3 linked regions of the Nothobranchius furzeri genome follow. The protein of the gene in region 2 purifies or fractionates together with the protein of the main gene of each other region. This does not show direct contact. Links are inferred from orthologs where the notes say so. Each region holds a gene or a part of one and is shown on either strand. Other genes may lie near its edges. The genes, in order: cbx3a, chaf1b and cbx5.

What was found.
Region 1: the proteins of chaf1b (region 2) and cbx3a purify together in Homo sapiens (affinity purification with mass spectrometry; 3 studies listed by BioGRID and IntAct, with this or other methods). This does not show direct contact. The link is inferred for Nothobranchius furzeri from reciprocal best matches to the Homo sapiens genes CHAF1B and CBX3.
Region 3: the proteins of chaf1b (region 2) and cbx5 purify together in Homo sapiens (affinity purification with mass spectrometry; 8 studies listed by BioGRID and IntAct, with this or other methods). This does not show direct contact. The link is inferred for Nothobranchius furzeri from reciprocal best matches to the Homo sapiens genes CHAF1B and CBX5.

What each region holds. Positions count from the first base shown.
Region 1 is NC_091751.1:29,400,274-29,407,798, reverse strand, and holds cbx3a (chromobox protein homolog 3a), read right to left. Parts: upstream 4,734-7,525; 5' UTR 4,585-4,733; intron 4,572-4,584; exon of another isoform or gene 4,254-4,571; intron 4,071-4,253; 5' UTR 4,067-4,070; coding exon 3,924-4,066; intron 3,775-3,923; coding exon 3,618-3,774; intron 3,515-3,617; coding exon 3,420-3,514; intron 3,173-3,419; coding exon 3,046-3,172; 3' UTR 2,685-3,045; downstream 1-2,684. Other genes in the region: nfe2l3 (nuclear factor erythroid 2-related factor 3), read right to left, coding at 7,193-7,525.
Region 2 is NC_091754.1:23,986,995-23,994,799, reverse strand, and holds the start of chaf1b (chromatin assembly factor 1 subunit B), read right to left. Parts: upstream 4,611-7,805; 5' UTR 4,502-4,610; coding exon 4,361-4,501; intron 4,252-4,360; coding exon 4,119-4,251; intron 4,028-4,118; coding exon 3,907-4,027; intron 2,284-3,906; coding exon 2,180-2,283; intron 2,105-2,179; coding exon 2,008-2,104; intron 1,928-2,007; coding exon 1,843-1,927; intron 1,088-1,842; coding exon 994-1,087; intron 894-993; coding exon 824-893; intron 752-823; coding exon 660-751; intron 575-659; coding exon 415-574; intron 322-414; coding exon 1-321. Other genes in the region: morc3a (MORC family CW-type zinc finger protein 3), read right to left, coding at 6,444-6,600, 6,701-6,846, 6,992-7,805. UniProt on the Homo sapiens protein: Acts as a component of the histone chaperone complex chromatin assembly factor 1 (CAF-1), which assembles histone octamers onto DNA during replication and repair.
Region 3 is NC_091755.1:25,770,077-25,777,978, reverse strand, and holds cbx5 (chromobox protein homolog 5), read right to left. Parts: upstream 4,358-7,902; 5' UTR 4,220-4,357; intron 3,750-4,219; 5' UTR 3,698-3,749; coding exon 3,570-3,697; intron 3,354-3,569; coding exon 3,113-3,353; intron 2,105-3,112; coding exon 2,004-2,104; intron 1,262-2,003; coding exon 1,120-1,261; 3' UTR 649-1,119; downstream 1-648. Other genes in the region: heterogeneous nuclear ribonucleoprotein A1, read left to right, coding at 5,306-5,317, 5,793-5,909, 5,993-6,139, 6,210-6,420, 6,502-6,648, 6,724-6,783, 6,858-7,001, 7,075-7,218 and 1 more. UniProt on the Homo sapiens protein: Component of heterochromatin that recognizes and binds histone H3 tails methylated at 'Lys-9' (H3K9me), leading to epigenetic repression. In contrast, it is excluded from chromatin when 'Tyr-41' of histone H3 is phosphorylated (H3Y41ph).

The sequences.
Region 1 (7,525 bases), on a different chromosome or scaffold from region 2:
TGGTTTTCGTCCTGGCCGTGGAACTGTGGACCAGCTCTATACCCTTGCAAGGGTGATGGAGGGGGCACGGGAGTTTGCCCAACCAATCCACATGTGTTTTGTGGATTTGGAGAAGGCTTATGACCGTGTCCCCAGAGGCACCCAGTGGGGGACGCTCCAGGAGTATGGGGTGGGTGGCCTGTTGTTAAGGGCCATTCAGTCCCTTTACCAGAGGAGCGTGAGTTTGGTCCGCATAGCCGGTAGTAAGTCAGACCTGTTCCCGGTGAGGGTTGGACTCCGCCAGGGCTGCCCTTTGTTAACGGTTCTGTTCATTACCTTTATGGACAGAATTTCTAGGCGCAGCCGTGGTGTGGAGTGTGTCGAGCTTGGTGGCAGGAGAATCTCGTCTCTGCTTTTTGCGGATGATGTGGTCCTCCTAGCTTCATCCAGCTCTGACCTTCAGCTCTTGCTGGGTAGGTTCGCGGCTGAGTGTGAAGCGGCTGGGATGAGGATCAGCACCTCCAAATCTGAGACCTGGTTCTCGACCGGGAAAGGGTGGCTTGCCAACTCCGGGTCGGGAGAGGTTCTACCTCAAGTGGAGGAGTTTAAGAATCTCGGGGTCTTATTCACGAGTGAGGGTAGGAGGGATTTGGAGATCAACAGGCGGATTGGTTCGGCGTCTGCAGTGATGCGGACGCTGAGCCGGTTTGTCATGGTGAAGAGGGAGCTGAGCCAGAAAGCCAGTCTCTCGATTTACCGGTTGATCTACGTCCCAGTCCTCATCTATGGTCATGAGCTTTGGGTAATGACCGAAAGAACGAGATCGCGGATACAAGCGGCCGAAATGAGTTTCCTCTGTAGGGTGGCCGGGCTCAGCCTTAGAGATAGGGTGAGGAGCTCGGACATTTGGGAGGGACTCGGAGTAGAACCGCTGCTCCTCCGGATCGAAAGGAGTCAGTTGAGGTGGTTTGGGCATCTGGTCAGGATGCCTCCTGGACGCCTCCCTGGGGAGGTGTTTCGGGCATGTCCTGCCGGCAGGAGGCCCCCGGGTTGACCCAGGACACGTTGGAGAGGTTACATCTCCAATCTGGTCCGGGAACGCCTTGGGGTCCTGCCGGAGGAGCTGGTGGAGGTGGCTGGGGAGAGGACAGTCTGGAACTCCCTAGTTGGGATGCTGTCCCCGCGACCCGGATGAGCGGAGGAAGACGACAATGATGATATATGTATGTATATATATATATATACACACACACACACACACACAACCTCATTAGAATTTAAAATGGTAATTAATAAAGTTGTTTTATGGGAGGATCACAATAATCACTTTTGTGAATCGCCTGCACCAACGGCTTAATTGCTTATTCACAAGGATGCAGTCATGTATTTAATTGAGATATGCGATTGTTTGTTTTGCACTATCCTACATGGTACTACTGTAGATCATTTTTTTAATGTATATATTGTATATCATATTTCTGTTTCACCTGTTCCTTTGTCTCCGACTGCTTTGAGCATGTACATGACACAAGAATTTCCCTCGGGATAAATAAAGTTGTTCTTATCTTATCCTGAGCCAAGCATGAGGGTTTATGTGGAATCTTATAGAGAACACTAGTTAAAAGGGGATCTTTACATCCAGCGTCAGCACAGAAAATATTGATCATTTTAACACAGAAGTTTTTGTTGTTAGTCAAATCAAAGAAACTTTAATTTTCTGATCTCAGCTTGTACAAGACGTCAGCCATTAATGATAAATTCCTGTAAACAACATGCTGCAGCCTGGACCCCAGATACAAACAAGTGAAAGTCATCTTACCTAAGCAAAGTTTATTTCTGTCCAGCCCAGGAGCCCATCTGAACACAAGTGGTGTGATGAGATTTTAAGTAAATCAGCTAATAACTGCTCCTTTACGCTGACGTCTCCTATCTTGTGTTACTTTATCAGTAGGTAAAGGCCAGAGGGGTGAAACTGGATGTTGTTTAGTCAGAAACGTCAATGCAACTTTATCCCCCATTCGTTCAATAAAAACCACCAATATAGACACCTGAATTCAGATTTGAATTACCAATCACCACACGGTTGGACATAAATATGAAGTTTTAGGTTACGTCACCATCCATGAGTCTACTACAGGTGATAAAGCCAAGTCTTCGATCTCTACCTTTTTAGTGTGAGCATCATTAGGTGAGATGCAATGATCAAATGACAGGTAAAACTATGGTTGGACTGATTTTAGTCTCCTTTAAATGTTTCCATTCATCAACACTTCCTGCCAGCTGTTCCAGGCTTTTTTGGAAGTTTAACATCTCCGACAGGCAAATAGCTGTTAACATGTGACCAGTTACTTTTAAAATAAACTCCATAATGTGTCTTTACAAGTGGTTATAGAAGAAACCAACCATTATCCATTACTGAGAACCAGCAGACTGAAGCCTCATTTACACCAAGTGCAGAACAGAATGAGCAGCTGATAGAGCTCCAGACAGGTGTGGACATTCATGGTCCTCCTTGGATAAATATCTCACCACTGTTCCTCTAAGGAGATCAGAATGCTGCTGCCAAAATAACATTCTGATGTAGGCCAAGGATTGATACCCTGACAGAACCACTCAGCTGGCTGTGACACTTTTAATAAAGCAACATTTAGGTTTTCTTTTTTCTGTATGCATTTGTCCTAAACTACAAATGAAGAGGGTAAAACTAGGCCACATAAAACCTTTATTTGAACTTTATATTTACAAACTGTAAACAAAGCGTTCATTTCAAACACGTCGGCACTTGCATCAAGGAACAAAACATTTAACTGAACTCAAAAAGGTTGACATAGACTCAAGTAAAAAAAATAAACAAATTGGAATGTGGACTGACATTATCGCTTTTTGACTAATCTTATATCCAACCCAGTCACCTGCTTTGACAAACTTTTAATCTACAATACCCCAACTGCCATACAAATGATTTTGTCTCAAATCAGCTAAAGTAGCTAAAGAAGAAAAAAAAAAGCAGAACAGAGAACACAATAAAAACCTAAAACATAAAGGTGTGCAGAATCCAGGCAAAGGCTACTGAGCCTCATCCTCTGGACAGGAATGCCACGTCAGCCGCTCCTCATAGAAGGATATGACCACCTGAGGGCAGCGCGTGTTGGCCTCACGAGCAGGGACCAAGTCTGCTTCATCTGACTCTTTCCTGGGGGACAAAAAAATAAATAAAAACTAAAATAAAACAGCAGATCTTAGAAAAGCCTATTTAAAAATCAAAGAAATAAATTATATATATTCAAGTGATTTTATTTCTAAATACTCTACATGTTTGTAATAAACCTTTTCCGCTTTTAGTTCGACTCCCTAAAAAAACACTAATGGCCATGCAAAGCAACCGAGGTAAATGTGAAACTACTCTTGTTGAAATTGGGTGTAAAGTCTGCCTAACTCACCACTTCATCAAGAACATCAGCTCCCCGCTGCTGTCTGTGGCACCAATGATTCGCTCTGGCTCCAGGTTCCTGGCAAAGCCGCGAGGCTTATCAGGCTGTCAAATAAAAACAAAAACAGGTTATAAACCATATTCTGATTGCACAACCTACAGGGAATCATGCTAGCAGGTCAGAGACATAAAAAACGTATAATCTAACCACATCTTTCTTCTTGGGTTCCTCTTCTGCATCATCTGTGGAGGCCTTCCTCTTCACTGCAGCCGGCTTCTCCTTTATATTCTTCTGGGAATCCAGAAAGGCCTGAATGAGCTCGGGGCAGTCCAGGTTATCCTCGGGTTCCCAGGTGTTGTCCGCTCTGAGGGAGCAAAAAAAAAAAAAAAAAAAACAGGTTAGCGTTCAAACCAAAAACATCCCAAACGTGTTAAAAGGGAAAAGCTGGGAGGCTTCATGCAGCCACGGTGCGTTAGAGGCGGAGAGAGCAGGACATTGTCCCGGGTAACTCACTCTGTGAAGCCTTTCCACTTCAGGTAGAACTCTACTTTCCCGTTGACGATCCGCTGGTCCAACACTTTCTCCACAACAAATTCTTCAGGCTCCTCCTGGGTCTCGGTCTCCTTCTTAGGCTTTGTATTCTGTTTCTTGCCCATTTTGCTTTTTAAAGATAAAAAGACGAGCCGCATTTATTCGGAAGGCCTTAAATCCACCCGGATGCTAGGCTACAAATAACTCAGCCAACGCTAACATAGGACATTACTCTAATTTGGCCCACCTGCTAGTTAGCTCAGCATTTAGCAGCTAAACGTAACAAAGGTTGCTAACACGCTGACCCCTTACCTAAAATTTCCTTGATTTTAAACAGTCTCATCTGCGGATTTTATTTGAGCAACAGAATTAGTAGAATTGTAAAAGATAAAATAAAAACTGTGGTAAAACTACAACACATCCCCACAAAACAACACCTTACTTGCCTTACTTTCAGCTAGCTTAACATATTACAGTAATAGCTAAACAATGGCGATGCTAACGCTGCTGGGTCAACAACTAAACTGCTGTTTGTCAAAAAACCAGCAACGTATAGGTGGCGTTTTAACACGCTCAGAGTAGCCTGATGTAATTAAAGAAATACTCAACATTGTTTTAAAAGAGAAGAACTCCGCACACTCACCCAAAGCGCGCGGATTTCTATAGTTGTTCAGCACCACGCCGCTCGGATGAAGTCGATCCCACAACGAAGGCGGCGCCAAAAACTAGTTGTGGCTACGGAAGCCCAGAAGGAAAAGCGATTCGTCTGCAGCCGAGCTGACCCATGTGTTCCAGAAGGGCCCTTTTCATGAACCAAGGCTTCAAGCCGCTAGTTAACGCAATCTGAGACACGTTGGTAGTAAATGAAAACGTTTATATATGTTTTAAACTATAAAGTAGTGGAAGGAATAAAGCATAAACACTAGCAATCATTTTCTTTTTCAGATTGTTCAAAAATGAAAAATTTAACAAATTGACCCCAAAGTCATAATGCTAATGCTGAATTCAGATTAAATTGAGCACCTGATGTCTCAAGTTGTTTAGATTGTTCTCAGACTGAGTGAAACAATTTCTTTTACTTTCTACTGAATACCGTAAATGACTGGCTTGTGATTTTGAACGAGTATTTGTTAAATATGCTTTACAGCCATATTTTAATAAATCTGTCTGCCTTCTGTCCTGAAATGATGCCGGTCAACACAGGTGTTCAGCTCAGGTGAGGAAAATAATGTTGATATGCTCACCAGCACGCAGCACCATAACAGTAATGGTATATATAACCTGTTAGCCAGACAAAACAAGACATTATTTAAATGTTTTTAATAAAGAAATCAAGTATTCTTCAATCAGATTTATCTTTTCAATAATCACCGCAAACAGACAGACAAATGTGACTCATGCATGAAAAAACAAGATGTATGAAAGTGAAATGCACACAAATAAACGTTTAAACCAGGACAAAGAGAAAACATGATCTTTGGATCACAATTAAGTTTATACACTCCCTAGTGCAGGGGAGTCCAATCCTGGTCCTGGAGAGCCAGTAACCAGCAGGTTTTGTGGTTTTTCTGCTTCAAAATGCTTGATTAGCTGGTTGAATCACCTGTGCAGCAGCTCATCAGGCTCTGCAGAAGCCTGTTAATCACCTGCTGATTGAAATCAGGTGTGCTGAAGCAGGTTAAAACGAAAAACGTGCTGGATAACGGCCCTCGAGGACCAGGATTGGACACCCCTGCCCTAGTGTAATCAAACACTCAGCCTGTCATATTGCATTCTCTAATAATCCCAAACATATAAACAGACAACAATCATTCTTGTTTGTGTAGCGAGTGGATAACATATTTTGCATGACAGGGGATTTCTTCTGTTCTAAAGTTATTTTTAGGTGAGGTTGTGCTTTAGTAGATGTGAGGGGATTCATGTCAGATCAGCTGACTTAAGTAAAGCACAAAAGGGTCAGCAGATGAGTAAAGTTTGCCTTTTTGTGCCATTTAGAAGCATCTTTATGGGAAAAGTGAGAAATTATGTTTTCCAGAATGGGTCTTTGTAACATAGATACAACCTTATGTATCATTTTGGGTGTATTTTAGGAGTAAAGAGATTATAAAACAATTATAAACAAGAAAAAAACTGATTAGAATACCTCACACAATCTCACTGAGAAAGAAAATCCATTTTAGATGAAACTGGAGCCAAAAATCACAGAAAGTCATCCCTGTAAACTGGAAATCAAACAAAAGAAGTTGCGTGAGACCGTTTTAGAATTGTTCTATTTAACTCAGCAAACCTTACAGAAGCACGCTGCATATAAAACAACATTCAACAAAGCTGGGACCACCGCTTTGGTTCATTTTTAGCTGAACATCATCAAAAACTGATTTCTGAGCATAGCATGCTGAAACTCGAACTATGAAGGATTTAAGTCAAAACCATCTATTTGTTATTAAAATCTGCATCAATAGTGTCTTAAAGCATTCGTGTGTGGATTATTTTCGAACCAAATACAACGTTACAAAATAAAGCCTCTTCATTGTAATCATTGGTATTTGGCATGTCACCCCTGGCAACTATGAGAAAGACAAATCTTTATTATTTTTTCCAGTTTTAGCCTAAATAAATAACATTACACACAGTTACCTTAAACGCCCCTGTAAACATTAGATTTACTTAAATTTTACTTTTCCATTTTGAAAAAAAAAGAGAAGGAAACAGTCTTCGTCAAAATGAAAACACTTCAAAAACCTTTCAAACCAGAATAAATATAATCTTCAACTTCCTAGTTCTCCTCAAAAGACTTAAAAAGGCAAATTTACACACAAAACCCCTCGGACCCATACCCAGTAAAGGTGATAGTTTTACGTTATCAGGCCCGGCCCAGAGAGGGGCTGGTTCTGCTGCCAGCTTTAATAAACACAAAGTCCAGTGTGCCCACTACTAATGTCTCAATATTTACAGATATTCTATCGAATTATTCATTTGTGTTCAGAGTGTTGTTTTGTTTTTGCAGCTTCTGATAGTGAAGGCTTATGGCAGTGGTGAATAAACACGCACGCACACACACACGCACGCACGCACGCACACACACACACGCACGCACGCACACACACGCACGCACGCACGCACGCACGCACACACACACACACACACACACACACCACCTACAAAAAAAGAACCCCAAACCCAGAGTCAGTCAAGTTCGGGAATATCAAAAAAAGCCTCTAAAAGCTCAAGTCTCAGCAGGAAACGAAACATCACTGCTTCTTCCCTTTTTTCCTCTTGTTTGTTTTGTTGCCTGCTGATGTGGAGACGGCTGGACGTCTGATGGGCTGAACCACAAACCTCCCGTTAGCGCCACACTGCAGGGTAAATCTGTCTGGGCTCAGGGGCTGTCCTGACCCATCCCTGAGCCGAGCCAGAACATCTCTGGTCAACTGCTTTATCTGTTGGCCCACAGCCCCCATGGTCTTAGCTGTAAGCTGTTTCTCTCTCAGCAGTCGTTCCCTCCGAGCCTGCAACATGTCCACCTCCTCCTGAAGACCGGTGATGGCATCTAATTTCCTTTTGCGGCAGTTCTGAGCTGCCAG
Region 2 (7,805 bases):
AGGGTGATCCGACGGGGCTGGGGTTTGGGTTTGATTTTAGGTGTGCTCTTCTTTTCGTCTGGTGGGGTGTGGCAGGGGGTGTCCTTGCCACAGCTGGTTTGACATGTGGGATTTGGGGTCGAGCTCAGTGTCTGGGACACAGGAGAGGAGTTTTTAGCCCCTGATGCCTTCTTTCCTTTCTTTTCAGAACCACTGCTTGGGACAAAGACCTCCAAGGTGGGGGGCTCCTTCAGTGGAGTGCCCAACTCCCCTGGAGAGAAGGACAGGAAGGAGCAGTAACCGTCTGTGGAGGAGACGGCCAGGAAGGAACCATCCCGAGACCTGAACACAAACACAGCACTAGACTAAAGAGGCTGCCCGGTTCATAGGAGCTTAAACACACCTAATGAAGGCCAACGGGTGTTTTAGGTTTACCATGTCAGGTCGCTGAGTGTGTGGTAGTGGATGTTGGACACCAGCCCAAACGGAAGGCTCTGCTGTGTGTCATACAGAAATATGGAGTCCTCCGAGGCCACGGCAAACACCATACGGTACGGCAGCTGGAACAAGTTGGGAAGAGCCTGGGTCGAACCGTCTGAAGCAGAAAAAGAGTAAAAAAAATTGAAGATAAACATAATAATTCCAGATAGTCGAGACAATCAGCGCCAGTTTGTCCTCACCGTCTCCCCTTTTAGTTCTGAGTTCAAAGTAGAGCGGGCAGCAGCGCACAGCCAACGTGGCTTTAGACGGACACGGCAGGTGAGCGATAGGTCTGACACACACAAAGAGACAGTTTTACAGATGTTAACGGTCAGTAAACACCAGAAAGAGCTGTAGATCCCACCTCTTAAGACTTTTCCTGGAAAAGATGTAAGTGGTGTTTATGATGTTTTCTCCCACCTCCACGCATCCAGCTGGGGTTCAAGATGCGAGAATAAAAAGATGCAAAAGCTGAGTTTATAAAAATCCTTTCATGAGGATAAAATCTCATTTTGGTTCGTGCCGTCTCTGTACCTGGGGCAAGCAGGAACGACCCGTCGGGTGTAAACGAGAGACGACGGAAGAACGACCTCATGCTGTCATCGTGGAACATCCTGTACTGCTTGGACTGCAGTTAAACACGGTGAAGAGGAACACGTTTTTACAAACTGGAGAGCTTTTTAGATGGTTTTAAGGATTAGATCTCCTCTCAGAGTCAAAATTATGCTTCCTTCAACCAGTCTGAGGTAAATGTTCAAGCTTTTCTTGTGTCATATTGTCCTAAAAAGACTTTAAACTTAAACATGTTTAAAAATGTTTGAGATCTTTATCTTACAAGATGTAAATGTAAAACAGCAAAACAAGGATAATAAAACAAGTGGTCATTTTCATTTTTATACCCATAAAATGAAGTTAAAATAAAAATCTTCCCACAAACAACAAATTTTGAAATTATTTTAACGTAAATTTCAGAAACAGTCCTGTTCAAATTAAATGTCATTATTTTTATCTGGTAATGAAAATAAACGATAAATCCATTATCAAATCAACACTTCAAGCATTTTAGGCCTGTTTTGATTGTATTAAACCACATTAAAATTCAAGCATTTCCATGAAATTTAAGCATCTTCACAAAACTCTGAATACAACATTTCTTAAGTTTTTAACTATAAAAACAAGTAAACTTTCTGTATCCAACTGAAAATGAAAAACCCAAAAATAGAAATAAAGATTACTGGGTTTATGAGAATAGGATGGAATATGCTACGAATATCAAGTCAAGTTGCAAAAAGGTTGCAACTAATGCACAAGAGGGGGGGGGGGGGAAATCAAATGTGAAAGAAAAAGAACTCAGATTTAGTAAAAATCCAGAATTTTACTGACCTCTCCTTCTGCAGGTGAACTGGGGCTCATTTTACTGACGCAGAAGGCCTTCTTCTTCGTGTGAGTGCTGTACACGCGCATCGCTCTGAGGAAAACAAAAAGGTTACGTAAACCCAGCGATACCCAACAGACTTGTGAAGGAATGACTCAAACACCAACAGTTACCGGTCACAACTGAGAGTGGCCACATATTGACCCAAAGGATCCCAGGTGACCCCCTGAACGTAGCTCTTATGGTCGTTAAAGATGCACAACTTCTGTCCTAAAAAATAAAAGCAGATATTTGACATCTGAAGGAAAACAAATACGTCCAAAACACCAAACTAAGGCTGCGAACCTTTGTTAACGTCCCACATGATGGCAGTGTTGTCAACAGAACCAGAAACCATGAAGTTGCCATCTCTTGTCCAGCAGATGTCATACACGTCCTCTATGTGTCCTCTGTGAGCAGAAAAATTAAATTCTTTCACTTTATTCTTTAAAAATAGATCAAATACATTTATTTTCTGAATAAGTGGCAAAAACTTGCAGACAAATAACATAATTTGCATTTTAGAATAATTGACATGGCAGCAGCCCAAAGAGGCAATTTTCCCTGGCAAACGTCTAACTTTTCAAGGTGAAAGCCAAAATTGCCAGGTTAACAGTCCCCAAAAGCCACAAAAGTTTTGTTTCTTTTATTAGAAAAAAATGCAAAAACCTGTTTAATTTGGATTTAAATCTATCTAATTTTAATTGCATGGCGCCTTCCACTGCCTTTACAGGCAGGCGTTGAACACAACATAAAAACAGTAAAAGAACAAAAAGACGGATTAAAAACCGCCTAAAAATGACTACAATTATGAGACAGATACAATAGAAGACAGATATGATAAAAGACTAAAAATCCATTTCATATAAAAGCCAAACTATAAAAATGAGTCTTCAATTGACTCTTGAAGACCTGCAGAGATGGGGACTGTTTGATAGCAGGTGGGAGCTCATTCCATAGTGTTGGAGCAAGGACTAAAAAGGCCCTATCACCTCTTGTTTTGAACCTTGGTCGTGGGACGATGAGCAAATCCTGATCAGCCGAGCGTTTCCGTATGTTTCAGGATCGATTTCAAAATACTTTTAACGGTTTTTAAGTGTCTTAATGGTCTTGGGCCTTCTTATCTTTCAGAACTGCTTTTACCGTATGAACCCACGCGGTCTCTGCGCTCCTCTGGCAGCCGTCTCCTTGTCATCCCTAAAGTTAGGACACACATTCACGGCAAGGCGTCCTTCCAGTACTACGGTCCTCGCCTCTGGAACGAGCTGCCAGGGGACCTCAGGGCTGCTGAGAACGTTCATGTGTTTAAGAAACAGGCTCAAGACCCATCTTTTTAGCTTAGCTTTTAACTGAATACTCTCACTTTTTAAATTAATTAATTACTTAATTTATTTATTTTATCCATTTATTTTATTTAATGTATTTTCTTTATGTGCCTTTTAAACAGTTTTTTACCTTGAGTTATGATCAACAATATTTTACTATGTATATAACTTTTTATTACAATTCTCATTTTAGCTCTTTGGATTTTATATTTTAACCTTAATTTAACCTTTTTCCAGTGCTTCCTCTGTGGGAACCCTTTGCCCCGGCGGCGGTGGTCGGCTGTGGTGGCCTGGGTGCTTTCCATGTGTGCCTGGGTGGTGGTGGGAGTCTCTGCCCTCCCTGCCCTGGGCGCATGTATTGTAGAATTGAGTGCTATATAAATAAAGTTGATTGATTGATTGAGCGAAGGGAGCGTGTAGGGGCATGAATTTGATTTCTATTATAAATAAATGATTTCTATTCATTTAAATTCCACAAAATATGCATTTTAATTAAAAGAAAAATAAAATAAAATTGTTAAAGTCACACATCAATAGACAGTCGGAGATGCTGCTGGGGCCACACGATCACTTTGAGGGTCACACTTTGGAGATGTCTGCTCTAGATGATTATCTGCCAACATTATTTAATCTGATAATAGTTTTGAGATCTTTTACAAATCTTTCCAATAAATCTAACAAACCACTGTGGCTTTCTGTTCTGTGTACCTCAGTGTTTTGACCACAGACCAACTCTCTTTATTGAGCTGGGCATCTTCCTCCTCTTGGAAGACTGGAGCTTGCTCAGGCTCTTTAGATTCATTGAGTTTCCATAAGAAAATTGCTGCATCTGTTTAAAAAGAGAAGAGAAACAAATCTCAATAGTACTTATTTGAATATTTCTGCCCTGCATCTAAAGATGATGTGTACGTGTGACATACCATCTCCTCCTGAAGCAAGCAGCTCTCCACTGGGGCTAAAGCGGACCACGTTGACAGCCTTGGTGTGTCTGGCCAGGTTAGACAGAAAATCTACTGCTGCTTTTCCATCTGCACCGGTGTCCACCTGCCACAGCTGCAGCAAAGTCAAGATAAATTATAACTTCATAACTAGAGACCATGTATTATTAAATTATACCAGAGAGTTCCGGGTTGCATGTGGCTCATTAACAGATGTTGCTCACCCTGACTGTGGTGTCCACTCCAGCTGTGGCGAGGCGATGAAAGCGTCCGTCAGAGCTGTGCTGAAAGTCCAGGCTGTAAACCGGCTCCTTGTTGTGCCATGCTATCTCACACGTTACTACCTTCATTTTCCTTATGTTCATATAAAAGTTACATTTACGAGATGCTGACACATTATTGTCATTATTCAGGCTGAAAGTAGCGAACACATTATACAAACTGCAAATATGGACAAGTACAAATTAAATATTATGAAAGGCTGGATGTTTTCAGCAAGACTAGGCTACTTAGCACAGTTAGCAAACAACTTAGCGGGTTCGGAGCGAACACAACAGGAAAAACCCCAAAACATGTGTAAAATAAGTTATTTAAAAGCGAGCAAACGGGATTCAAAAGACAAATGTGTGATTTTAAGTATTCTTTTTACTGAGATAATCTAAAAAATTGTGTTTTACCTACTCCGGTGTCCAACTAATGATAATTTCCCGCGTATGTTTTGTTCACAACTTCCGGTCAAATGGGCTGCTGTGATTGGACGAAACACAGGAAAAGGCGGAGACTGAAGGCAAGTTTCTACTTCTCTTGCTCAGACAAAAAAAAAAAAAAAAGAAAAAGAAAAAAAGGAAAATGAATATAATTATCATCAAATCGAACTTTAATTGACGCATTTATATTATTAAATTATCTAAAACATTATTGAAACTAGTATTTTTCCTTTATTGGTAAATACAGCTATTTTAACGTCACATGCGGCTTTTTTTGTCTTTATGGTAGACGTACACAAATGTACAAACAACAGCTATGAACTACAATTTAATTTTAACATTTGTATGTCTAATGCAAATTTGGGATTTATCGTTTTCTCCCCAATCACTTATAATTAACCTTTTATGCTAAAATGTCTTTTATTCATTTGCATTATTTCTTTAGGTGTTAGCAAACTCTGATCTGAGTGATAAAGTTTTTGCTATCATCTTGTAAACATGAGTCAATATTTTCACTATTTATGATTATGGTATAAACTTGAGGAAAGTCTCAAGAGGATTAAAAGGTAAATAAAAAAGTTAAAAGTACAAATAAAACACTTGAAAAGGTTTGTGCCAATACTGGCTCTTGACTGACAAATATTGGTAAACGTTTTATTATACATTCATTATCAGCATTGACATGACCACATGTAAATCAGAACATCAATCCAAGTTTTCAGATTTCTCAAGCCACATTTTTGCTTTAATTAGTAAAAAAAGTGCATTTTTAGTAAGAAATGTATGTGCTGCACTTATACAAAATACAATGTCTACATTAGTTACAGACACACATACTGTTCAAGCCAAGGGTACATGACTCAAGGGAACGTCTGAACTCTCGTTAATACAGTTTAAAACAAAGTCCCTAAAACTATTAACAATCTTTTGCAAAAAACAAGTAAACATTTTAAAGAAACTTCCAACAGAAGTAGTTGGGCCATATACATATATTTATGCAGTAGCATCGGTGTGCTCTCACCCTCAAATATGATGGAAAGTTTCACATGAGGCCTTGCTTTACTCACTATATTAGGTACGTATAAAATATGTCAATTTGAACCATCGCCTGTTACTAAATCTCAGTTTGCACCATCTGAACTGACAGATAATATAAATATATGTACATGTTACAATAAAAAATGTGATGTTTAATGAAAATCATAAGAAAACATAAAAGTAGTAATAGAATGTATTACTACAAGTGTGAGAACTATGACAAACTAAATGTGATTTAACAATAATGTTTTTTTTTAAAATAGCACAAACGGCTTAGAGTAAAACATCCCAGATGCAACAGAAACAGTCTCCCTGAGCTTCACACAAAATTAACATTTCAACAGTTTGAACTGAAAATGTGTAAGTTTAGGGCTGCAAGATGGATTATTTCACACACGTCAGCCATCAAAGTTTTGGTTTGACAATTAGTTGAAAATATCCACTTGCTGCAGTTAAATGAACTCAGGCAAAAACACAAATTAAGACTGAAGTACAAGCTGAAAACTCAAACCAGACGGACCTGACGTTCTTATGAAACTACAGAACACCTGTGAAGTTCTCTTCAGCTGAACAGGGGAATAGCAGCATCACAACCATCGTTAACATACTGCTCCAGGATCTCATCGATGACGGTACAATCATAATTCACTTGCTCCAAATCCAGATCTGGGATGTAGGAGACGAGAAGACGCCCAACGTTCTTTCGAAGCCTGATCAAACTATAGGAACGAGGAAATAAAGAGGCACGTTTAAATCTAAACAAATAAAAAAACATACTTTAAAACCTACATGAAATAAGTGATCTGCCAGCAGTCCAACCTTTCGTGGTCCTCTGACGTTGAGCCAGAGCCTGCTGAGCCTCCAGCCTCCTCTGATTGTGCGGTTTCCCGTTCTTGCTGCAGACTTGACCTGAGCTCTTCACACTGGGCCGCTAAAGCCGACTTTTCCTCCTCCAGACTGACCAGCTGTTGGTGAAGCCAGAGAAAAAAAAACACCCAAGAGGGCAGAAAAGCAGACCAGCTTTAGAAAGCAGTAACAGAATTTAGGACATCTGCACTCAAGAGTAGTTCAATAACTAAATTCAGCCCCAATCAAAGCTGGGACCCTAACCTTGGAGCGAAGTTCATCCATCTTCTTTTGTCTCTGATCCAGTTCACGAACTAGACCGCCAACCTGCAGAGAAATCTCTTGGACATCTGGTTCTTCACCTGGAGCAGCATTAGCGCCGGTACTGATGTCAGCAGCGTTTGATAAAAACTCTTTGTCCTTCACCAAATCGTGAACCTTCTTCTTGGCCTTCTCAAAGAGACTTCTGTAGTCCTTCTGGACTTCTGTTTGGCAGGCTTGATGAGAGCACTCGCTCTTTACGCTGACCCGCTCCTGCAGCTGGGTGTTAAGTCTTTGCACCTCCTCTTTTAAACTGTCCCTCTCTTGAGCCGTGTCCTGCATGAGCTCCAGCAGCTGATCCTGCTGCTTCTGCACCACAGAGATGTCAGCGAAAAGGGGAGCATATGAAGGTTCAGCGATTTCATCATTTTCCATGTGTGTCACTCCGTTGGACAAAGACTGCTCTCCTCGATTCCCACTCTGACTGGATTCCCCGTTCTCCTGCTTAAGCGTTTGCTGCTGGAGGACGGGGGTGTCTGTGTTGTCTGACATGGCACCATTGTTACTGCACCCTTTCTCCCTCCCTCCAGGTTGGCTTTGACTCTCTGTTTCTAGTTTTACTTTGGAAGCTGCTGTTTGGGTGGAGCTGTTGATCACCTGCGTGCTCGGACCTGCGGCGGTATCCTCTGAACTGAAATCCACCGCTGCATCATCGGTGCATTCTAACAACATGGAGGTCGCCAACTCACTTGCCGCCTCCTCCTCTTTCTTGATTTTAGCAATGCTAGGAGCAGGCTTTTGTGGCTTGGGGGTACTT
Region 3 (7,902 bases), on a different chromosome or scaffold from region 2:
AGTTAAATCTGGAGAAAAATATGCATCTTATTTTCTCCAATAAAATACAAATAATACACTTTACCATTGAAAATGTTTATTAAAGGGTGATACAGTACACATGTTTGTAACATTTATTTTGACACAAGAAAACCGCTCAACAATCTGGAAATTCTGCTTGGGTAAAAAGTTAGGACAAAACCATTTTAATGGAAGAACCCAACCGACTTGGCAAATTAACATTAAAAACTGGTCATATGAATAAAATGTATAAAAAAGGAGCAAGTCACTAAGGTTTTACTAAACCAGGAAAAACATCTGAATACACCAACTATTTGGTCCAAAATGTTAAAATTACCCAGAAAAACAAAACTAAAAAGTTATTGAAATTGACCGCTATCTCACATTTGAAAAGGGTAAAATGTTGTTGTTTTTTTTTTTTGTGTAGGGAGGATTTTAGAGAAATAAAAATGTCTAAAAAAATACTTAAGTTGATTAACACAAACACACACACACACACCTCAGAGGCTGTCATCTGTTTTGGTCACGGTCTATGCGGTTTTACTTTGTTACCACTAGGCAGCAACAAAATAAAACGGCAAATAAAAAAATTCTAGCAAGCGAATCACCAAGCAAAGATTGTTCAAATTTAAACGTTGTATTTTGGTAAAAAAAAAAAAAAAATCTACAAAGATAAAAAGTTTAAAAAGGACATGATTAAACAGACAGGAAAGTGCAGAGATGGTTACTTCCATAATGTCAATACTCCAACTCAATCCCACCTGATCATAACACTGCACTCCTCACTGATAGAATCACATCCTGTAAGCACTAAAACATACATCGATATTAAAAAAAGGTAATGAATACAAAGACAATACAGTAGAAAGTTCCCCAAGTAGCATTTCACCCACACCCACTACATCTTCTCCTCCAGCCCGACGGCCCCCTCTCAGCAGCCCGGGTCATTGTGCTCCAGTGGGACGTGGATGGAGGAAGGAGGGGAGGACAAGAGAAAGATGCATCGCCTGTCATTGTGTTGCCTTTGGACGTGGTACATGAAAGTTTTGGATATGGAGGAAAAAAATGTCTGACTTAAGGTAGTCCCTGCAGTGGAGGATTCCTCCCGAGGTGATACACTCACGCGCTAACAGCATCCTTCTCCTTCTTGTCGCCGTCTTCGTGCCAGGTGAGACGCTCCTCGTAGAAGGCTATGACGATTTGTGGGCACTTATGATTGGCCTCCTTGGCGAGAACAAGATCTGCCTCATCAGAGTCTTTCCTGTACGAGAAACCAGAACAGCAAGAGAACTTAAGGAATCCACGCATTGTTAGGGATTGTTAGTTTGTCCTTATTGTCCTTCACTTTTCCAAATTATTTCAACCAAATTTCCCATTTCAAAACAAAATTTCCAAAATCTACAACCATCACTTCTGCTTAGGGACAATTTACTGCATGTATAAATTTAGCTAATATGCAATAGCATAAAGTTTTATGATGTGGCTTACTGTTTATGACGGAACAGCGATTAGCTAATGAATGATTTGCCAGTAGTAATGTGGTGTTAAAGATTCAGGTTGTTAGACATTTAAGCTCATGATAGGACATCGTGCTGTGCTCTGGTGCAACAATTCTGCACCGTTTAACCAGTTCTGTTTTAGACATTTAATAGTTGAAAATGTAAGTACTTTATAATACTTAAGCATATTTCTTTGTCATACGAGAATGAATAGTAGTCCTCTTAGATCAAGTGTGTCTGAGATCCCCATACCCAGCATGTTTTAGTCATCTCACTGCTGCAATACACCTGAATGGTTGAATTACCTGTTCAGCAGGTCACCAAGCTCTACAAAGGCCTGTTAGTCCCCCCTGTGCTAGGTTAGCTTCTAATGTTTATGTCTGAGGAAAATTTTGTTTTACTACGAAATGGGTGCATTATGATTACCAAAGTGCATAAAAGTAAGTGCATTGTCATTATAACAGAATGAAGATCTCCCAAAATGAGTCTACCAGTAAAACTTACCACTTCATTAGAAACATGAGGTCTCCACACGAGTCGGTTGCCCCAATGATCTTCTCTGGCTCTAGGCCCCTCTCAAAGCCACGTGCAACTAGGATCTCATCCTGAAATGTAAAAAAATAAAAAATAAAAAATTAAAAATGCCAGCTGAATATTTGCCAAAGGGCTATTTCATTGGCCATAAATTCAGCAATTCTAAACACAGGTCAAATCTAGATATAACTTATATTATTTAATAAGTATAGGTGTTGCCCATCACCTGCCCATAAGTTAATGCATTATTGGTAATTCAAAAAAACAATTTATCATTTTCATCTCAAAATTATACATTTTACAACATTTAGCTAAAATATAAACAGTCTTTACAGAAATCAGTTCAGAAGAGCTAAGTACAAATGCTCCCACGCATACAAATGATTCATATCAGAATGAGTGCGTTTACATGCAGCCAGTAACCCTTTTAAAACCCGAATATTCACAATAACCCGGTTCCGCAGGTCCTTGTAAACACCGCCAAAAACCTGGATATGCTCATAACCGGGTTTTTAAAAACCCGGTTACTACACCTGGCGTAACCCTTTTCTAACCCGAATGTTTGGTCGTGTAAACGCATACCGGGATATCCCCATCAAAGCGTGTGTTCTGCACATGCTCTGTTCGCAAGGAATCTTGGTCTTTTGAGTAGCGAGACGTCTTGTATGCGCCAGAACACCGGAAGTAAACAACAAGTTGGGAGCAACATGGCGAGTCGCGGCACAGCACCACACTTTCGCAGTGACGAAGAAACTAAAGCACAAACAAACGCGGTCGCCGTCTCTTCCGAACTGGGAAACGTGTTGTTGTTTTCACGGATACCGGAACAAGAAGAACCGGAAATGAGGCATATTGCGTCTGGACGTAGTCCATATGTCTTGACGCTACCCCACCGTCCGCATTTAAATCGGGTTATGCAAGTTAGGGGTAACTCTTTCTATTTATTGTAAACGGGCTTGTAAACGGGTTATTCTGATCAACTCAGAAACCCGAATACCGACCTTAACCCGATCATAACCCGGATATTGGCTGCATGTAAACGTAGTCAATGAAATTCACCTATAATGAAGATAATTTACCTCTTTCTTCTTCTTTGGCTTACTTCCTCCTTCCTCTTCTTCCTCCTCTTCATCAGAGCCCTTCTTTTTTAAGCTGCTGGGATCTTTAGTGCGTCCAGATGAGCCTGTGCTTGATTTACTGGCCCCGCTGCTAGGTGTCGAACTACCACCGCTGCTGCTGCTTTTCTTATAGGTCTTCATGAACTCTGAAATAAGCTCAGGGCAGTCTAGATTCTTCTCTGGCTCCCATGTGTTGTGCTTGCTGCAGAAAATCACAGCACAAGTCATTGAAATGTCACGTTCATTTTTAAAAGGGTAATATTGTGTGCTCAAACCAGCTTCACTGATGCTTTTTGTGCTGTGTGTGTGTGTGTGTGTGTGTGTGTGTGTGTGTGTGTGTGTGTGTGTGTGTGTGTGTGTGTGTGTGTAAAACGGGAATATCAAGTCACTGACCAGTAAACAGGTACTTGGTACTTACTCAGAGTATCCTTTCCACTTAAGGAAGAACTCCACCCTGCCTTTCACCACCCTCCTGTCCAGCACCTTCTCCACAACATACTCTTCTTCATCAGATGAGGACTCCTCTTCACGTGACTTTTTGCCCATCTCGGAGTTGGGTGCTTCACACTACACTCTTTTAGAGTTCGATGGCACTTTCCTGTTCACGACGAAATCACAAACAAGCATCTCACAAAACATGCCATTTTTTCTCAGCGCTCGTCCACATGTAAACACATAAATTTAAGCTCAAGCTGCAGGTTTGCAACCATGAGCGTTAGCCACACAACGTGGTTACCGTGCATCAATGAATATCTTCATTTAATCTCGTTCTTCCCACTAGCAGAACGATAAGCATGGGAAAACTGCTAATATAATGGCCATACATGTGCATTTCTCGACATATGCCCGTTTGAAATAGTTATATGCGACCAGACTGCACTCACAGAAAACGAACAAAGCACACAGTTCAATGAAGACCAAGGGATTTGTCCTGCTAACTAACCCCAAACTAGCCAAAGGAGCTAGCTTACGTGCTAAAGCTATGCTATACTCGCTAATTTACTTATCAAACAACTACCCGATACTTGCAACAGCGTAAAGCACATTTACAAAAACGCAGTTTCTTACCCTCGGAGTGTATAACCCACTGGATGTAGGCCGCTGGTCGCAGGGACTGCTCCGTTTATCTAGAGGCAGCAGTGCAGCTAATGCAGCACCAGCGTTAGCATCTAGCCTGTAGCACATAAAGGTGCCGTGCGCAAAAAGCGCGCGTTAAAAACGCACAATGAACATACCCGCCCCCAGTCTGCTGGTGACATAATAAATGTTTAGAAAACACGTTCCTTCCTACTAAATTTTAACTTTTCTATAACGTTAACGTTCGGTTTATAAAATTGTAGTAACTTGCAGTCACAATAATTTACAAAATAAGTATACACGATAATACAAAATAAAAAAAAACACAGCATAAAGGGTTACAATTATTTGACTGAAAATAAAGAAATTAATATATATACGTCTACTTTGTTGTAGTAATTTATGTTTTCATATATTTTTCGTTTAAATCTTGCTGCATTTATTTATTTCTCTATGTTCATGTTATTTTCCCCCTTTAGTCACCACACACAAAGCCCAGATTAACTAATTTGGCTCATTTTAAATTATACTTTAGCATAAACTCTTCAAGAGTTGTACATTTTGCATCGGTTTGTTTGATTACGGGACATCTTGTGTACCAACATGCGAATGATATTTCCCGTGTTGTTTAGCCAGACGGCAATTTGTCTATCTTTTATATTGTTTATTGTCTTTCTTAGGCTCGTTTCGTAGAAAAAAGTTAATAAGTCGTTTTTTCAGCACCTTTTAAATGTGAGCATTCAATTTCTCTGTCAATTCAGATAATTTGTTTATAGATGAAGGCACATTCATTTTTGGCTTTATGTAATTTAGGTCGGCCATTTTTCTTCATGGTCGACAAAGGCGAATGCCTACTACGCAGTGAATGGTTGTTCGCATTGATTGACAAAATTTAGACCAATCAAAATACAGTTCTGATTGACGACACAGTACCGCGGGAACTACAGACCAATCGCTGAGGGGAAGAGGCGTTTCCGTTCCTATTTCTTGTACGTTCACCCTGTCGCTGGTCTTGTCTGACGCAGCTAGTTCCTCTGCGGTCGGTTCTCAAGGAGTCGTCAAGGATAAAGCGGCAAAATGTCTAAAGAGGTGAGTGCTAAACTTATCAAAGGATATCAGGCCGTAAGATTAATAGTTTGGTTTTGGGTAGTTTTATTATAGGTTGGCCATACTTGGTGTTGTCGACGGACTGTGTGCCGTAGCTGCAGAGCTTTCTTGAAGCCGCCATTTTATAGAAGCTGAGCCTCGTGGCCTTTTGTTCTGATGATGATCTGTAAAGGACATCAGTGGCTTCTCTTCAACACCAGTCTTAAACGATTATATCCCTAACACATTAAACGACAGTGAGTACATATTAATTGTGTGTTGGCTCTTTGAAAGAAGGAGTTCTTTGACTTTAGTCTGAGCGGTTCCTAAACTGTAATGGCGGCGGTGCGCCTTCTCCACCCTATCCCTGATTTTTGATCAAAGACGCAGAGTTTGATATAAATGGTCCACCGACAATATTATTATGCGGAACTATATTGTGCATTGCTTCTCCTATGACGCAAATATTTTTGTGCAGGTTCCACGTGAGCCGGAGCAGCTCCGCAAGCTGTTCATCGGAGGCCTGAGCTTCGAGACAACAGACGAGAGCCTACGGGCTCATTTTGAACAATGGGGCAGCCTTACAGATTGCGTGGTACGCATACCTTTATGTCTCTTTTTAAATGTAATGTAACGTTTGGTTGGTTGCTTAAAGCTGTGATGCGTTTCTGCCTTTAGGTTATGAGAGACCCAAACAGCAAGAGATCCAGGGGGTTTGGCTTCGTCACCTACTCGTCAGTGCAGGAGGTCGATGCCTCCATGTCCGCTCGTCCACACAAGGTGGATGGAAGAGTGGTGGAGCCTAAGCGAGCTGTTTCCAGAGAGGTATGTGAGCCAGCTTATCCAGATTGATTTATGATGCACGAATGGGATTAAGCGCTCTTGTTGTTTGCAGGACTCCAACCGCCCAGGCGCTCACATAACTGTGAAGAAAATCTTTGTTGGAGGCATAAAAGAAGACACAGAAGAATCTCATTTGAGGGATTACTTCCAGCAGTTTGGCAAAATTGAGGTCATTGACATCATGACTGACCGTAACACTGGAAAGAAGAGAGGCTTCGCCTTTGTCAGCTTTGATGACCATGATTCAGTTGACAGGATTGTCAGTAAGTAAAATGTTTATCTTGCAAGCTTTCACCTGCAGTGCTATGTGTGGTTAAAATGTTGCCGTCCCTCCCAATTAACAGTCCAGAAATACCACACAATCAACTCGCACAACTGTGAAGTGAGGAAGGCCCTCACCAAGCAGGAAATGCAAAGTGTGGGCATGGGATCGAGAGGAGGCCGTAACACCGGGGGAAGGCCATATGATTACGACAGAGGCTTCAACCAAGGTAGGGTGTGATGGTGAACACCAACACCTGTAGTGTAATAGGGTGAGTTTTTAAATCCTGATTTCCCCTCATAAGGTGGCAGGGGTGGTCGATATGGCGATGGTCCGTACAATTGCAATGGGGGTGATGGAGGAGGTATACACCTTTTTAGTTATTTAAAGTGGGTTTTGAATGATTTGTTAGAGTACTAATGTTTTTTTATATTTCAGGTTATGGCGGTGGTCCTGGCAGTCCTGGAGGCTACAACCAAGGTGGAAACCGTGGTTATAATCAGGGTGGCTACAACCAAGGTGGTGGAGGAGGAGGCGGTGGCGGTGGATATGGAGGAAATGGTTATGACAACAATGGTTACGGTAAGAATTCTCTTGGTAAAAACCATGTTTATTTCTGCCCAGCATCACAATATAACAGAAAATAACCTTTAAGGTAATTGTGGTGGCGGCGGGGGTGGAGGTGGTAACAACTACAACAACATGGGCCACTACGACCCCCAGGCCTCTAACTTTGGGCCGATGAAGAATAACTTCGGTGGCGGCGGTGGTGGCGGCGGCGGCAGGAACTTTGGTGGAGGTGAGTATTTGAGATCAATATGGTTGCTACTCGCTTGTCTGTTTTGATGCAAATTAATTTCCCCCTTTCTCAGGTGGCTATGGTGGTGGCTCAAACAATCCTGGAGGCTATGGCCGCCCAGGGCGATTTTGAAATGAGAAGGGGTGAGCATCTAAACATGGTCTCATAGTGTTGCAAAACCAGTTTGTCGTTACAGGCAATCACTGAGATACAGCTAAACTGACAAATTCACTTTGGATGTCAGGCCTTAAAGTCAGTGCACAGTTAACAATGTTGTTCCATATTGTTCAACAGGACTGAGTACTTAGGAGAGGAGAGCAGAGCAAGGAGAGGAGAGCAAGCGAAGTGACAGGGCAGCTGCAGGTTTACCTCCTAAATCTGCTCAGCCAAACAGTTGTGGCAGGTTACAGCTGCTACGAGAAGAGATGTACAGTAGATAAATCATGGAGGGCCTTCATTTAAACTTTGTACTATTGTTTTTTTCTTGATGTTATCTTTTCTGGAAAGCAAGCATTCCATTAAGGGTTTTATGTTTATCTTTTATGTCTGGTTTTTATTTGTACCTGCATCAATTCAATCTGAAATAAACCACCTTTCAGTTTTTTTAAGTCTTGTTAGACTCTTTAGTGATTTGGGTTGATTGTTAGCTGTTTGGGGTTCAGTATTAACATGTGAGGTGTTTAT